2 linked regions of the Drosophila melanogaster genome follow. The protein of the gene in region 1 purifies or fractionates together with the protein of each later gene. This does not show direct contact. Each region holds a gene or a part of one and is shown on either strand. Other genes may lie near its edges.

Region 1 (5,775 bases):
CCGTTCTTTGAACGGTCACTCGAATCAGCTGCATTCATTTGTTTATATAGCAATTCGCAAACAGTTGGATTTTCCTGTTTAGTTGTTATTCCCAATACTAAAATGCTTACCGACAGAGTTCTGGCCACCAAGGAGGCGCTAGTGGTGGCTCTGGGCGACAACTGGGAGCGTTACCGGGCCAACATGAAGAATTGGTTTCGGAGCCGTTGGACTAAGGAGGAATTCGATGCGGAGTCGCGGAAAATCCTAACACCTGACAAACTGCACCTGCACAATCAGTTCCTGCTCGCCCTGCTCAACAAGATCGACGCCTTTGCTCCCCTGGAGAATCCTCCGGCCGTCCAGACCAGCAGCAGTAGTGGCAACCGAAGCAAACGGCGCAAAAGAAGTTGCCGCACCTTCGCCGAACGCCTTAATTTTGAGCTCAGCGACGTCCTGGACTTTGTAGCCGAGGACAACATGCAAATCATTCGTCCGCCAACCACGATCGGTATTCCGTCGGACCAGCAACAGCAACAGCTTCAGTCGCAGCGGTACTGCGCGCAGGAACTTTTCCTGCCCGACGCGGGATTCATTATGGGACGATTTCTGATCGGTGCCTGGGAAATCGGACTTGTCTCCGTGGACGACAATGTCGCCGAGTACGTTGCCATGGCCGTGCAAGTTCTGCTCAAGGATCTACTATCGGCAATCATCAAGAAACGAAAGCACTACAAGACCAGCGGCGAGGGAAACTTTTACTACGATGTAGGTGCTCCGTTGCGTGATCCTTCGCTGCGCAACACCGTCACCCGGCAGAAGGTCGACGACACGCCGCTGGAACTGGACAAGGAACTGAATACGGCCAACTTTATGCGGCGACAGAACGACGATGTGACCTTCCTCTCCGCCTGCGAAGAAGTGTAAGCTCCTGAATAATAATGAGATTTTCATGTGAAACACAAACTTAGGTTTTGTTTCTTTCAGCCAACCCACCGAACGCACAGTAATCACCCTCAAGGACTGCCAACTGGCCTTACGGGATCGCAACCTGATAGGCTCGCATGCCGTCTACTCCATAAACATGGAACGACTCAATATGATGATGCATTAGCTTATAAGTTCTAATTATTTTATTATATCAGCTTCTGTAAAAATATATACATTATACGCTAGTGTACCATTAAGTGTTTGGTTCAGCAAAGATTCCGTGGAGGCGGTTTGAATGGCAAGGCACCTGGTAGAAATTGATCCGCCTTGAATGCTTCGATTTCCTGCTCGTTGAGATCCTCCATGCGACTGTAAACTGAGGACTGGATTTCGTTGGTCGGTTGAGCTTGCTGCTGCTGCTGCTGCTGCATCATTTGCTGTTGCTGTTGCATTTGAAATTGTTGTTGCTGCTGCATTTGTTGCTATTGCATCTGCTGCTGCTGATGCATTTGTTGCTGTTGCATCTGTTGCTGCTGCTGCATCTGTTGCTGCTGCTGCATCTGTTGTTGATTAGGGAATGCAGATGCTGCTGCTTGAGCAAATAATCCGGAGGCAGCTGCCTGCTGCTGCTGTTGTAGTTGCTGAGAAGCCTGAGTAAACATTCCGCCCATATTTTGGCTTGCGGCTTGGCCAAAGATTCCCGTCGACTGCGGTTGCTGCTGCTGCTGTTGGAAACCACCGAAAGGATTAGGATTCACTGGCTGAGCTTGCACCTGAACCTGCGCCTGGGCGAAAATGTTGCCCCCTTGGAAAGCTTGTGCAGCAGGCTGCAGCTGTTGCTGCTGTGGCTGTCCAAAGACACTTTGTGCACCTGTTGCCGCAGCTCCTACACCAAAAATGCTATTCCTTGCATTGGCATTGCTAATCGTTCCGCCGAAAATGCTATTGGTGTTGCTGGCTTGGCTTGTGGCATTCCCAAATATATTTCCCGCACTCAGCGTGGGCTTTCCAAAAATGGATGCAGATGTATTGGCGGCAGCCGGAGCTGCTGCAGCGAAGGGATTACTGGACTGCTGAGGGGCAGCCGACACAGTGCCGCCCTCCGGCGTCTCGTGGATCTTGATCATCATTTCCAGGACCTGCGGCGACATCTGAAGCATGGTCTTCATCTTGTTGTTAGCCTCTAGGACCTCACGGTTAAACTGTTGGCTGAACTGTTCGAATTGGTTTTGTCGTTTGGCCTCGTAACACATGAACCGCACCTCCTCGAAGGATTGGTCCTGAATAAAGTTGGGGAAATTCGCTTTGTCCTTAAAGGGTCCGTAGGCGGACAAAGGCCACATCTTGCCATTGAGGCTGGATTCCATGTCGGCTTTGAGATATTGCCTAAAATAATTAAGTTATTAGTTCATCTGCATAGTTTTAATATCAATGTACTCACTTAACATCGAAATGCTCGTTGTTGCACTTTGCGCCATAGCGGCAGGAGCCTTGTTGAAAGAACCGGCAGACAACCATATTTAAATTTGATTTTAATTTTTGCCTATTTCCTATATTTATTATTTCAAAACTGCTTCAACTTTTGTACTTTTGTTTATAATTGTCTTACTTTGCGTATTGAGTATTCTTTGAGTATTTTATGGCTCACTGAGAAAAATATACCGTGCCTATGCGCGCAATTTCGTGAATTCGTAACTTAAGTTCGCTGAATGATTAAGATAATTTTGTAAGCAAACATATTTAAGATGAAAACTGGTTTTTGAAAATATAGTTCCTTGTAAATTATACATTAAGTGCGAATATATCTGAAAAATATTGGTTTCTTGCACAGATGCTATTCATTTTTCATATGTTCAAAGAAATTCAGAAACTTGCTTCTGCATAATCGAATCAGATAATTTTAAAGTGAATTCCGGAGTCCTTTGGTATATCTCGTGCCGCCGAATACGGTCCCACTGATTGTGAAATCCGTGATAACGAATTTTAACACCAGAATTTCTAGGATTCCATCAGAATGCAAAAAGTGCTGGGACGCATCCAGGCGCAGGTCCTCCGCTCCCGGGCGACGAATGCATTAGCCAATGTGGTTAGACACGAGGCCACCTCCTCCAGGACAGCGGCTAAACCAGCCGCCACATCCAAAGGTAAGCGGATCCTCCAAGATGCACAGTTACCGCTTACCAAAATCGTATTCGTTCGTAGAATTCCGGGAGAGACAGGTGCGATTCAACATAAAGAACGAACAGACCGAGGGTAGACCACTTTACCTGGATGCCCAGGCCACCACTCCAATGGACCCACGTGTATTGGACGCTATGCTCCCCTATCTGACCAATTTCTACGGAAATCCCCACTCCCGTACCCACGCCTACGGTTGGGAAACAGAGTCCGCTGTAGAAAAGGCCCGCGAGCAGGTGGCCACCCTGATTGGCGCCGATCCCAAGGAGATCATCTTCACATCCGGCGCCACCGAGTCGAATAATATCGCAGTAAAGGGTGTTGCCCGTTTCTACGGCACTAAGAAGCGACACGTGATCACCACCCAGACGGAGCACAAGTGCGTGCTGGACTCTTGTCGTGCTTTAGAGAACGAGGGCTTTAAAGTCACGTACCTGCCAGTGCTGGCCAACGGACTCATCGACCTCCAGCAACTGGAGGAAACCATCACATCGGAGACCTCGCTGGTGTCCATTATGACGGTGAATAACGAAATCGGCGTACGGCAACCCGTCGATGAGATTGGCAAACTGTGCCGGTCTCGCCGAGTATTCTTTCACACGGATGCCGCTCAGGCGGTGGGAAAGGTCCCGCTGGACGTTAACGCCATGAACATTGACCTGATGTCTATATCCGGCCACAAAATCTACGGCCCAAAGGGTGTAGGCGCCCTGTATGTCCGACGAAGGCCGAGGGTTCGCCTCGAGCCCATCCAAAGTGGCGGCGGCCAGGAGCGTGGCCTAAGGAGCGGAACGGTTCCAGCCCCGCTCGCCGTGGGATTGGGAGCTGCTGCGGAACTTTCTTTGCGTGAGATGGACTACGACAAGAAATGGGTGGACTTTCTATCCAATCGCCTGCTGGACAGGATTTCAAGTGCCTTGCCGCATGTCATCAGGAATGGTGATGCCAAAGCCACATACAATGGTTGCCTGAATTTGTCGTTTGCCTATGTCGAGGGCGAGTCACTACTGATGGCTCTTAAGGACGTGGCCCTGAGCAGTGGGTCCGCCTGCACCTCCGCCTCCCTGGAGCCCTCCTATGTTCTGCGTGCCATCGGCACCGACGAGGATCTTGCCCACAGCTCCATACGCTTTGGCATCGGGCGCTTTACCACCGTCGAGGAGGTGGACTACACCGCCGATAAGTGCATCAAGCATGTGGAGCGACTGCGCGAGATGTCGCCGCTGTGGGAGATGGTCCAAGAGGGCATCGACCTAAAGACCATCCAATGGTCGCAGCATTAATGTACTAATATTTAAGCCGTTACTGTTACACCACACTTTGAAAGCGAAGGGAAAATAAATTTGTTGGAAGAGTATCTAGGTTTATTTGTACACAAAACCACTTATAACTAAGCTTAGTCCGAACGAATGTGCTTGTGTAAGAGGTGAGGCAAGAGAGACCCCAAAAAGCGAAAACGGCTCAAAGTGCGACGGCCAATGATATGCAAATGATGCAATAATTTGCATTCGCCGCTGGTCAAGGTTCAGTTGGCCTTCTTCTGGGGTGAGCCGCTGGATCCACCGCCCAGGATCTTACGGCGCTGGGCGAACATGTGCAAGTACAACTGCGGGAAGATGGGGATGTAGCCGAGCATGACGATCCACAGGAATCCAAAATACGAGAAGGTGGCGTTCCACTTGTTGGGCATCACCACACTCCACACGCTGTTCTCACGGGCATAGCTCTGGGCCCACCAGAAGCACAGCAGCTCCCCAGTCACGCCGATGGGATACAGGACAATGAATGTGGTGTAGCGCAGGAACACCACAAAATGCGGCACCACCTTGACGATGTTCAGAGCGTAATATCCATATCGGATGATCTCAGTGATGGCCCAGGCCAGCAGGGCGATGGGCAGACCGGGTGAAACCTTTCCAGTAGGCGTGGCCATCACCACGCCGACGACCACCATCATGCGGCTGAACACCTGGAAGCCAGTGACCACCGGGTTCGACTTGACCAATCCAAAAGAAGCATTGAGTATCTCCACGAACGCGGCATTCTGGAAGATGATCACGGCCAGCCGAGTATACTCCCACAACGTCACCTGGGCACGGAACTCCGGACCCTGCAATATGTAGTAGTTGACCAGCTGCCACAGGATGTAGCTCCATCCGACCACCTGGCCGGCGTTGTACGCAAACAGGTACAATTTAGTGACCGCCGACGGCTCCTTGGAAGCGCCTGGTTTGCTGGACTTGGACACTGCCTTTGCTGACATGTTGGAGCGGAGATGTGTGAACTTTCACCTTGCCGATCGCCGCTGGTTAACTAATCAGTCGTCACAGTCTTATCGCCCTGTAGCGCGATAATTCCGAAGTCGCTTTCACCTGATTGGGTCAGTATGACCGCACGGCGACCACACAAAAAATACCAAAAAAAAGGGCTAAGAAATATATATAACTATTAAATACCCTTCCATATAATATCTTTTATAAATAAAAACGCTTTGATATCGAAAATTGTTCATTTAATCATTTGTAAATTAATAATCATTTAATTAAAATTTCTTGATATAAAATTTCATTCGCCTTTATTTTCTCTGAATTTTGTTTTTTGCTATTCACAATTTTTCCAACGAGTATAAATAAAAGATGAACTTCATTCTTTCAAAGTCAACGGGTACAAAGTGCATAGCCTTATAAC
Region 2 (4,934 bases), 690 kb from region 1:
CCTAAGTCTTCCCTTTTTGACAATTTGAAACCAGTTCAAGTGGTTTAATCATTTAACGCACATCATAAAAATCGCATCAAGTGATTTTTATTTACACGCCCAGGACAAAAAGGATCCCCAAAACCTAAACGGAATACAATGATTGGGGCGGGGGTGCGAAATGGTTGGGGGTGAGCCATCCCTTTGAAACCCAAGGCGTTGGCTAAGAACAAGAAAAATGAACTCGCTCACTAGATAAGGTTTCGGTTAGTTGATAGACTTTTACGCTGTAATGAAATCTTAGAAATTCCATTTAAGAAGGAAATATATATGTATTACAAATAAGCTTAACCGCAAAAGGTATTAGCTTTTAATCTTAAGGAATATATAAGTCTTTATATAATGAGTACGAACTTCCTAAACATTTTTCCTTACTCCAATTTGTGATTAACTAATTTTATAGAACTATTTAACCTCAGAACAAGAGCACATATCAGTAATTAAATTCAAGTTTTCATGTAGGTTGTGTTAGCGAAGTATTTAATCATATAGTTTTATTTTTTAAATACATGTTAAGCTGGTGAGGCGTAGTGTATATGTGAATTTTATTCAAAATTTAATGCGCAACCGCATAATGGACATAAGATGTGAGACTTTAGATGAATTTGCGTGAAGATTGATCTTGATCAGAGGCAGACGACCGAAGAATGCGGATTACACTGCTTAACTGAAGGTGTTGACCTGTGAATAAATAAAAACATTCATTTAAATTTAAATCATTTCATTCATTTGTATAACACTTACAATATCGTCGATCTTCAAGATCGATCGAATCGTCTCCGTGGCCAGGGTGATCGACGAAATACTGACCAGCAGCGGCTGCACAACGTTCTCCGCGAAAATGTCTGTGATGGCGCCCTTGCGCACATTAATACCGGCGTTCTTCTCACCCTGAGCGTGGCGGTTGCGTAGCTCCGTGACCGTGGCAATGGGATTCAAACCGGCGTTCTCAGCCAGAGTGGAGGGAATCACCTCCAAAGCATCGGCAAATGCACGGAAGCAATACGCATCCACACCCTCCACGGTTTGTGCCAATGCGGCTAGCTGCAGGGCCATCTCAATCTCGGGCGCACCACCGCCGACAATCTGGGCGCGCAGCTTCACCAGGCAACGGACGACACAGAGGGCATCGTGCAGGGAGCGAGCAGCCTCCTCGAGCACCAGCTTGTTGGATCCGCGGCAGATGATCGAGACAGTGCGTCCCATGTTCTGAATGCCGGTGATCTTCACAAACTTGTTGGTACCACTGGCCACCTCCTCGACCAGATCGGCACTGGAAAGGTTCTCGGCTGTGAAGTGATCCAGCGAAGCGATCGGTCGGCAGTGCAGGGTCTTGCACACGAACTCAATATCCTCGCGCTCCACATCCTTAACGACCATGCACTTGATCTTGTCCAGGAAATGCTGAGCCAGATCAGAGACAGCATCGCTAGATAAGTGGAGAACTATCAGCACAAAGTGGACAAATAACAAGTAAGCTAAACCTACCGCAAGATAGACTTCTGAACGAGAAGAACATTGCATCCTGACTTCTTGATCTGCTTGACAATGTTCAGGATGTATGAACGCTCCTCCTTGAGCACACGATCCATGGCAGCGTAATCCGATACAATCACATTGTGATCCATCTGTAATTTCGGCATAAATTATAAAAGACAATAAATTGTTAGGATCATAGCGATGTACTCACATCGGTCTTGGGGGCCGAAATGCAGAACTGGATAAGACCGATCTTGGCCTTCTCAATGCGCTTGGGAGCGTTGGATCCGGCAGAGCGGCAGGTGAAGACCAATCCATCGACCAGCTCGGTGTCCTCAACAGTGCCACCCAGGCTGGAGATGACCTTGATGTTCTTGAGATCCACAGAGGTTTCCTTGCCGGGATCCGTAACCTTCAGCACGGCATCCACGGCAATGGGGGCCAGCAGGCTGCTCTGCTGCGACACCACCTTGGAGTTCAACGAGGTGGAGGCGCTCTTGATCAGCGTCTCGCGGTCGTCCAGCTCGATGGGAGTGGACATCTGTTTAAGAATCTCGACGGCCTTGTTCGAGCAGCGCTGGAACGAGTCCGAAATGGCCGTGGGATGCAGACCCTTCTGCAGCAACTTCTCGCACGCCTCAAGCAGAGCTCCGGCAATGACAACCACGGAGGTGGTGCCGTCACCAGCGGCCACATCCTGGGCACGCGACAGCTCCACCAGCATCTTGGCAGCCGGGTGCAGTACATTCATCTGCTTCAGGATGGTGGCGCCATCGTTGGTGATGGACACCTCGCCGTTGCCGGCCTGGATCATCTTGTCCATGCCGCGGGGGCCCAAACTGGTGCGGATAGCATCGGAAACGGCTGGAAAACAGAATTATTTCAATAGGTTATAAATGTATTTTAATATTTCGTTAAAACTTAATGAGAAACTCAGATAAGTGGAATTCGTGTGGTTAGTTTTACACAGCAGCATGACTAATTTACATACATACATACAAAAAGACATATGGTGTTTTATGTGTTAATTCAAAAAATCTACTGTAACTTATCTTAAGAGATAAACAATAAAATCCTTGTAGCGGATAAAAGGGTATTGGGAATAGAGTATTAAAAATCCTCAATTTTTAGGTTGTTTCAATTCATCACATGAGTAATGCGCGCTCTTCTTCTTCTTCCGCCCAAGAAGTTTCCAGACAGCCGGCATCCAACTGCTTTTTCAATAGGCCATTTGGCCGGAAATTCTGATGCACCACTGCTCGGAATTCAGTCACCTCGGTTCTTAGCTCAATAAATAGCACATACGCCAACATTTTGATACAAAAATGTGTTTAATTTTGTTAATTTCCTCGCTTTTTCTCACCTTTGGCCGCCTGGATGTTGGACAAACGCACATCGGTGGGCTTCGACTTGTCCTTGAAGGCCTTGGCCGTTGGCTTGATGTTGACAGCTGCTGCCTTGGGCGCCATTGTAGGGTTAAGTTATAGTTTTTTAACAAAACACAGTTATTCTACAATAAATTCACAGCGATTTACACAGAACACGTTGCTGCGAAATGTTAAGGAAAGTGTGGCCGCACTCGCTGAGCTCAAATATACCGCCAACTTATCGGCATCGATAACATCATCCCTTGTGAATGGCAAATTGGTGTGACCGTATTTTGCGTTGTGACTCGGCTGCTTTATTTACATTGAATTTTTGTTCGATTTTTGAATTTAAAATAAAAATAATGCCGCACGGACACTCTCACGATCACGGCGGCTGCAGCCACGAGGCCTCGGACGTGGACCACGCCCTAGAAATGGGCATCGAGTACAGCTTGTACACCAAAATCGATCTGGACAATGTGGAGTGCCTGAACGAGGAGACGGATGGCCAGGGAAAAAGTGTCTTTAAGCCGTACGAGAAGCGCCAGGATCTGTCCAAGTACGTGGAGAGCGATGCGGATGAAGAGCTCCTCTTCAACATTCCCTTCACCGGCAACATCAAGCTCAAGGGCATCATCATAAGTGGGGCCAATGATGACTCCCATCCAAACATGGTCAAAATGTAAGGAACAAAAGTCAAGGCTGCTTTAATATTACTATATTCATCATATATCTTATTTTTCAGCTTCAAGAACCGACCCAGGATGACCTTTGATGATGCCAGAGCAAAGCCCGACCAGGAGTTCCAGCTGACCCGCGATGCCCGCGGAGAAATCGAGTACTCACCCAAAGTGGTCACCTTCTCCTCCGTGCACCATCTCTCCCTCTACTTTCCCAGCAATTTTGGCGAAGACATAACACGCATTTACTATATAGGTAAGCTCACAACAATCTATGTTTTATCTGTGTTCCCAACTAAAACCAAGTCACTATTCAAAGGTCTTCGAGGAGAGTTCACAGAAGCTCATTACCATGGCGTAACCATATGCAACTACGAATCCCGTGCCAATGCAGCGGATCACAAGGAAAAGGCTTTCGATGGAGTCGGCAGAGCCATCCAATAGGGTTATAGAGATTAAAATTTACAATTTAATTGAGTATCTCTGTAGTGTATATATTTTGTGATCATTTAAGGCAAGAAATGTTTTTGTATTCGCTTAACTTATTGAGCATTTGTATTGCACAGATATTGTGGGCTAAATCATACTAAGTATATTGTGTGGGTGGAATCACATCGGGTCCTATTTTCATGCCCATATTGGGCACTTTATCCGAATGGATTTCAGCCGTGACCTCGGTGAACAGCTTGTCCCACTGCCAGAGATCGTCCTTCTCGTTGAGGCTCTCCTGTGGAACCAGGCAATCGGTGAGGATTGAGAGATCAAAGCCATCCACAGCTGAAAAGGCGTACTGGGAAAGCAAATCGGAATTGGCCTCCTTCAAAACAGCAGATCGTGAGGTGCCAATACTACAAATTACAACTTATTATCGTAGTGAAGAGAAATATAGCAGCTTCTGCTTACGTTGGCGGTTCTACAATCTCATTGAGCATGATTTCGTCCTTGACATCATCCATGTCTGGGATGACGGGAATGTCATCCGTTGGTATGGAATTTGTAGCCGACTTTGTTTGTTTAAAGCGCTCACTAAAATGAATTTTATCATTATAACAGTCGGTGGAAAGTGAAGTTATTGTGATAAACTTGTACTCACTCATCAAAGGAGTTTTTCTTGGACCTAAAAAGATATAGAGCAATCAGTAATGTGCCTAATTCGAGCCTAATCATACCCACTTTAATCCTTTGAGTCCAGAATCCGCCCAGCCACCTGAAATGCGACGAATGGGTGGTCGATGTGACTCGAATTCATTGTTGTATGTGGACGAGGTGGCCGTGTCCGAGGTGGTCGGTGGGGTGCCCGCCTGGACATTCAGCGTAATGTCGATGGAAATGTCCTTGGAGCCCCCAGCCGCCTGGACATCCTCCTCCT

What was found. The genes of interacting proteins can lie anywhere in the genome.
Region 2: the proteins of Nfs1 (region 1) and CCT4 purify together in Drosophila melanogaster (affinity purification with mass spectrometry, with the first as the bait; one large-scale study listed by BioGRID). This does not show direct contact.

Annotation. Positions count from the first base shown.
Region 1 is NT_033779.5:11,996,802-12,002,576, forward strand, and holds Nfs1 (Nfs1 cysteine desulfurase), read left to right. Parts: upstream 1-2,852; 5' UTR 2,853-2,923; coding exon 2,924-3,053; intron 3,054-3,111; coding exon 3,112-4,370; 3' UTR 4,371-4,443; downstream 4,444-5,775. Other genes in the region: Ada1-1 (transcriptional adaptor 1-1), read left to right, coding at 103-902, 967-1,093; Hacd1 (3-hydroxyacyl-CoA dehydratase 1), read right to left, coding at 4,613-5,350. UniProt on the Drosophila melanogaster protein: Catalyzes the removal of elemental sulfur from cysteine to produce alanine. It supplies the inorganic sulfur for iron-sulfur (Fe-S) clusters.
Region 2 is NT_033779.5:12,689,836-12,694,769, forward strand, and holds CCT4 (chaperonin containing TCP1 subunit 4), read right to left. Parts: upstream 3,100-4,934; 5' UTR 2,988-3,099; coding exon 2,882-2,987; intron 2,383-2,881; coding exon 1,730-2,382; intron 1,668-1,729; coding exon 1,528-1,667; intron 1,469-1,527; coding exon 784-1,468; intron 721-783; coding exon 703-720; 3' UTR 501-702; downstream 1-500. Other genes in the region: CG6153 (uncharacterized protein), read left to right, coding at 3,248-3,567, 3,631-3,821, 3,885-4,009; IFT43 (intraflagellar transport 43), read right to left, coding at 4,152-4,413, 4,469-4,591, 4,659-4,682, 4,739-4,934.